Coturnix japonica: one gene and its partner. The protein of the gene in region 1 interacts with the protein of each later gene in a pairwise test. Links are inferred from orthologs where the notes say so. Each region holds a gene or a part of one and is shown on either strand. Other genes may lie near its edges. The genes, in order: TNIK and CNKSR2.

What was found.
Region 2: the proteins of TNIK (region 1) and CNKSR2 interact in a two-hybrid assay, tested with the Homo sapiens proteins (2 studies listed by BioGRID and IntAct). The link is inferred for Coturnix japonica from reciprocal best matches to the Homo sapiens genes TNIK and CNKSR2.

Annotation. Positions count from the first base shown.
Region 1 is NC_029524.1:17,419,535-17,423,359, reverse strand, and holds part of TNIK (TRAF2 and NCK-interacting protein kinase), read right to left. Parts: intron 2,865-3,825; coding exon 2,750-2,864; intron 2,181-2,749; coding exon 2,010-2,180; intron 1,720-2,009; coding exon 1,576-1,719; intron 1,275-1,575; coding exon 1,140-1,274; intron 612-1,139; coding exon 511-611; intron 1-510. UniProt on the Homo sapiens protein: Serine/threonine kinase that acts as an essential activator of the Wnt signaling pathway. Recruited to promoters of Wnt target genes and required to activate their expression. May act by phosphorylating TCF4/TCF7L2.
Region 2 is NC_029516.1:106,570,776-106,573,821, reverse strand, and holds part of CNKSR2 (connector enhancer of kinase suppressor of ras 2), read right to left. Parts: intron 505-3,046; coding exon 289-504; 3' UTR 1-288.

The DNA of each region.
Region 1 (3,825 bases):
CTTGATACAGAATTCACACTGCAGAAGGGGAGGGGACCTTGCAAAATAACTATGGAAAATAAAGCCAGCCTGATTTCACTCTCTGTGGTTGAAGCAAGCAAACAAGGTTAAAAAAAATCCCCTAAAACCTCAACTCTGCTTTATTAAAAGACATTTGGTGAGCTTTCTACAACGTCTGCAATGAAGCCTCCCAGGATAAGCAGTATTAATGCTTCATTGGTAGCCATAAGCGGCACATATCACATCTCTACGGCTACAGGCTTCACAACATTTCTGCCAGGGGAAGTACAGCGATGATAAGGCTTTTGAGGAGAGGTTTTGTTTGTGTCCTTGGGGTCTGAAGGCCCTGGCACCGCACAGCAAGACTGAAAGGAAATCCTGTGGGTGCTTATCTTCATTGGTCCTCAAGAGGAGCCGGACTGTGTAGGCAAAACATCTTCCTACACCACACAGTATAGAAACCTCATGTATTTACAATCACAGAGTATTGTGGGAACAAGGCACACATACCTTAAATGCCATAAACTTGTGATATGGTTTAGGAGCCCAAGCATAGATCTCTACAGCATTCTTTAAGGCAATCACCAGGAACTTGATTCTTTCGTATTTCACTAAAATTAGAATAAAAGATGTTTAAAACATTCTTTTTTTGCTTCAAGACAGCACAGTTTATCTCCAGAAGCAGCTGCTAAGGCTCTCTGTTGGTTCTCATGCAGTAGTGTCCACCTAATACATACAGACCAATAGTAAAATTATTTCTGGCTGCAGTTTACCCATACTTTCAATAGAAATCATCAGATCAGATCTAGGGCTACAGAATAAAAATCCCCAAAGACTCCAAGTATCTTTTGCTTGTAATTTTTGCAGCACACGATCAATGTGATAAACTGGAAGATGTTTACCAAGGCATTTTATCACACAGGCTGTGACTGAGGCACTCCCAATACTGAGGAGCAGATGAGCAGCCCTGGGCAGTCCAGTGAGCATCACCCTCCCCAGGCTCAGAGCTGTAGGCACACAGCCCCTTCTCATTGCTGAACCTCCCAGCTGCTCATTTCATGGCTGAACTGGGAACTACAAATGCCTCCATGTGTTTTTGCACCACAGCCTCCCACAGCATGGGAACCCCAGCCACTCACCGACTTTGTAGTGGATGCAGCCTTCCAGGTCCCCAACTGTGATCCAGCCCTGCTTCTTCTCTACTTCAGGGTCATTGTGTAAAATCCTGTTTCTCAGCCAGGAGAGATAGTACACTCGCAGCTTATTCTTCTTTCCTGTTGGCAAAGGAAACTCAGCCGTAAGAGGCAGAAAGAGGTAACAAAGCAGCACGCAGCCCCAGGAACAGCCCTGGGCTCCAGTCCTCTGTGCACAGCCACGCTGGGTTTGCATGGGAAACCCTGAGATTCCAATGTTTATTTTCCCTCAAGGAAGATAAAAGTAAAGCTCTTTCCACAATGAAATTGAAAAGCTTCCCAGATTCGATGACCGACCATCCTCTGCAGGATTCCCACATTAATTTCCACATTCTCATTTCCTGCATTTGGAACCAGGTCAGTGATGGGGTGAGAGTTGTACCTGATATTGTCACAAGGACATTCAAGCCCTCGAGTACGTCCATCTGCTGGAACCGCCGTCTGTTGATTAGGTTGTAGACCTTCCCTTGCCCGCTTCGGTCCAGCAGCATCAGGCCATTTTCTGTGCCCACCAGCAGATTTACACCTGAAACAGAGAGACCAATGGGCACAAGGAGCCACGGCTGCTGCCCACCAGAGGATTACAGCCCAAGTTCATTCTCTGCTATCTCTAAGTGACAATTGTAACTAAGGGCAGCATTCTCATAGACAAGAAGCATCGTTCTTATACTGAAGGGTCCCAGGGACATAAGCCTTGCACAAGATAGAGACAACCACAGCGGGACAACCAGAGGCATGAACCAGGTTCTGCCATGAAGTATTGATGCTGCATTGCCATTAAGCTCATCTGAGGGGACGATGTAACCAGGAGCTCACCCCACAAAGCAGCACACAGTATCTCTGAGTTGAAGCGCTTCTTATACTTCCTTATCTCCGGGGTGTCACTGTGGGGACGGATGTTGGTGGGGTTCACGTTCACCACAGAGATCTTCCTGGCTTCATTCAGCTTGGCCTGCTCCTGTCTGAGCAGCTCACTGGTGAACAGTGCTAACAAGGAAACAACAGGACAGTGAGGTTTGATTGGTTAATGGAAGCAAATTCTTGATTATTATTATATGTTATATTATATACAAATATATACTATTATCTATTATTGTTTCTTTTTTTTTTTTTTTTTTTTTTTTTTTTGACAGGGATGTCATCACTCTGTTATAATCTGAAAGTTTGGAGAGATAACAGCAGTATTTTCTCATAGGTTGGAAGCAACACTAAAGCGGTAACAGGCAGCATCCTCCAGCACTGCCCACAGGGATGACCAGCCCTAACCCTGTCCACATGCATCTGTTTTCAATGAGTTCTAAGGAACTGCAAGCTTTTTGGAGTGAATGCCACCTCCTGGCTCTGCCAGGAACAACTCTCCCAGGTGCCCAGGCAGAGAGGGATGGGTGGACTTCTGCTATTCCGAATTCTCTCTTTCTGGGGTTATTTCACTGGTGATGGGGAGAAGGAATTGGATGGAAATTGGAATGTACAAGGGTATAAACACAAGAGTAAATGAAATCTGAGAGGTTCAAGGGGGTTATTCAGGCTTCACAAAAGGTCACATTGTCTCCTACCAGTAGCAGATGACTCTTCGTCCTCATCTTCATCTTCATCGGTAGGCGAGGTCTGATACACTCTGGTGTCCACAAAGGGGGTGAAAGAAGCTTTGGTGCTACTTCCCATTCCATACTGCAAAATAAAAAGCACAGAGAGAGCTCAGAGCACAGAAATAACACTAACACTTGGTGTGTGTGGCTTTGCAATGGGAACACAGCACCTGTCCCTGCAGCGCCCTTTGTGAGCCCTCTGTGAACATTTACTCCTCCTCCCCCAGAAGTCATCATGGATGACATTCCATTGGATTTGTGGATGCCTCTGGAGCAGCAGAGAACAAGAAGTGCAGGCACAGGGTTGCAGTGCCCAGTGCCACGGGCTTGGCTCGCAGGTAGAAGCACAGCACAGCCAGACTGGTTAGCGGAGAAGCCGCAGTGTCAGAGGCAAAAGTGAACGCAGGGCTAAACAACTTCTCTGAGCACAGCACACCTGTCTTAAAGCCCAGGATGGGACATCAGTGGTAAGGGGTTGTTTCTCCTGTTAATGCAACTGCCCCACATGAGCCCTGGGGAAAACCCCACGGCAGTGCTCAGCATAGGACAGGGAATGAAGAGGTGAGAACACAGCACATCCCACACTGCTCCATCCTCCCCAGCTCTGGTCTCCACCACATGTCACTTGTATGGCAGGGATGGGTTACTTGCAATTCCAAGGAAGTATTTTAGATTGTCTACAGCGTTTCAGGTGAGGCTGCAGAAAAAGCCATTTCTAAGTCAGGAAAACTGAACCTGAACATATTGTAGGGAAGGCCAGAGCCAACACTTTACCAAGGGGATCTGAATAGGAACAAATGGCAGCACCACGTTGCTTTCTTTTTAAAACCATTGCTTTGTTAAGGCAGAAAACAAAGCAAAGCTTTCTCCCAAGCAAAATGACAGCCTTACTTGGGAGTCAAAGTGCCACCATTCTTCTTATTACAGTATTTATCCAGGGTGCTCTTTATTTGTGACCTACATTAAGAGCCGTAACAGCAGCAAAAATCAAATCTTCCTGCAGCAGCAGCAGGGCTGTTCACGTCCTGATTCCCTGCGATGTT
Region 2 (3,046 bases), on another chromosome or scaffold:
AACTTCCTCCGTGAAGGCCACAGTCTTCCAAAAAATGTTTTTAAATACTTCTATCTAATAGTTAAAGTTCATGTTCATTATTTCACAGAAGGTAAACACAGGTGGAGCATTGGTAGTGTATAAAAAACACAAATCCTCATTAAAGACATGGTATCATAGACCATTAAAAGTGTACTTCACACAGTTGAGAGACATTAAAAGATAATTTACTAGAAGTCCCACATATTGATATAAAACCTAATATATGCACTTATTTAAAGGCTCGGAGTGTAGCAAATGGAGGGTCCCTTATACATGTGTTTCAATGTAGGAGTGCGTGTGCGCTAAGGAAGCTATAAGTGCGTCAACCTCAGATGAGCCATTAACAGAGCCCCTCGGGGTGCTGTTGTGACAGATGTCCAAAAAGATGTCAAAGTATATTTGTTTCCATTCTTGAAAGTCTCTAGATGTCAAAGCTGGATTATCCAGAACCTTGTCTATAATGGCTACTTCTCCTTCTCTGGCCTGTGGGAGAAGAAAGACAAGTAGAGTCAGTGTGGGCAATGAGCAAACAGCATGGGTAGGGTGGGAGCAAGGATGCCACAGAGGTCTGGGAAACAGGGCTGCTGTGATACTGCTCATATGTGGCAGCCTCTTTCCATGATGTCACTCATCACCCTGCAGGACTGGGCACTCCTCACTTTGTCCCACACCCTCAGCAATGGCCCCTACTCCCCTCTCACCCCTTGTTCAGCTCCTACAAAAAAAAAAAAAAAAAAAAAAAGCCCTGAGCTGTTTACTACTAGCTGCTTTAATTTTCAGGATCGGTTTCATGCTGCCAAGCGCCATCTGTTTGCTCTTCTTGATCAGCATGAGAAATACCGTGTTTGTGCGTGGGATGCAGACAGATGGCCCCTCGCCCGCCAGCAGAGCTAAGCCTTTTTTACAGGGCCTGTCATGGGGACACCTGAGCAAATGCCTGTGCTAGGAATCTTCAGCTTGGTAATGTCCTCACCAGCAGTTCATGCTGTGGGGTGGCTGGCTGCTACCTTCTCCTACCATGGTGGTGGCAAGCAGAATGCAGGAATGGGTAAAATCTAACACAGCTGTTGGCACCTCCCCACTTGTCACGGGGGCAGGGGATGTGGCTGTATCCCAATCACTGACTGGTGATTAGCTTATTGAGAGATGACAAGCAGCCAGCATGGGTCAGAGCAAGCTGCAGATACACACACAGCTGCTCACTGTTTTTATTAGTGGTGGAAGATGGATGCACCAGCCTTGAGCCTGAAAGAACAAGTAACAGGCAAGATCCAGCACTGCTCCTTTGTGTAGGCATGGTCTGGTCACCAGGAACTTCTCTATTCCCCATGTCAGATGGGTTTCACAGACCTCACTTCTAACTGACATTTGCCATGTTTATTCTGCAAATGTGGTAAACCTCTCTAGGGAGCATGTTAAGGGAAGTATTCAGCAATGTCAGCTCATGTTGGTGGAACAGTTATCAGAAGGGTCAGAGATGTCATTAACAAGTAGTATGTTTAAAGGTATTTTTCATGCTTTGCAATCAGTAGCTAATTAATGCTATATGCTAGAATACTCAATTTCAGGAACAGCTGTGGCTAACCAGAGGAAGATAACCTTTGGAATTCCTCAGTTACCATATATTTGCATGAACTGCCATAACGTGCTTCTTGCAGGTTGTCACCTGTACACACAAACCAGCACTGCCATACTTGCTGAAGAGAATGGTTTTGTGGCTATGTCAGGACAAAGAAAGCAGAAAGGTCTTTCCATTGCTGATGGAACAGATAGCCTATGGGTGGTGTGAGCTAGAACCAACTTAGAGGGCTGTACAGATTACTAATCATTTTAATGAATTAAGGGAAAGTTCAGAACACCAAATCCAATGGGCAAGTGCAAGTGAACATATTCAGGAAGGAGAACTCAATGGCATTGATCAAAATGGGGTACAATTGATTAGCTAACAGCAGTAGCTCCTGATAAATGCTACTACCAGTACAATAGCAGAGGTGAGCTAGGATGGAGCTAGAAACAATTAATGAGTTACCGTGATGCCTCTGCAAAACAGGCACACGTCACGTTGCACTGTTGCCATATGCAAGAAACAGCAATAATCTGTCTTTGATACTTGCTGGCATTGCACTGTCAATTATTTATGTCATTCTGGTCCAAATAAGATTGGTGACTAGTTCAGAAAATATGTGTCATGGAAAGAGAATAAACAAATTATGTTTGCTTGGTCTAAAAGAAAGAAGATACAGAGAAGTATGAAAACAAGCATCTGCTGGGTTAAAGGGATGAGCTGTTTTTAGAAGACCCTGGAGAGAAAACAATTCCATTTGTAGAAAACCACTGGCATAATGTAACTCAGGTATCAGTAAATGCTAGCAAGAAAGGCAATTAAGCATGATGATAAGCTGCTGATATGGAACAGCAGCAAGGCTGTGTAATTCCTGCAAGTATCAAGAAATGTGTTATTTTTTATATTTCAGATTAGCAACTCTAACATACTGTTGGCATGAAGGATTCCACCAAGGTGCAACAGCAGAGATTCTGTGTGAATTTCCTACCTGTTCTGCATATCTGAGGTGGCTATGATTTTGCTTCAGTTTCTCCTGTAAAAATTACATGGAAAGCCTGAGCACCTTGTCTTTTTGCTATCAGTCTACAATCTAGCAAAGACTCACATACCCTGGTTCATTCAGTTGCCTTCAATGAGATGATACAGTGCAAAAAGTTAAACATAGAAAAGACTTTCTTCAGGGCTGGAGTCTCACAGCATGAAAATAATATTGCTTAAATGCTTCTCTAGGTGATGGAAAACCAAAGTAATTAATGCTGGTAAAACTCTCTTTGATAAAAACTGTTAGAAAATCCACTGTACAATTATCTAGTGACTTAAAATGTAGTAATTTAATACAGTTAACAGAGACCCTGGGGAAATCCAGCATATTGTTTGCTGAAATCTCTAACAGTACAGATTTGCTGTAACGAATAAAGAAGCTGACAGGGAGGTCAAATTAGCTTCACTGCACTTACAATA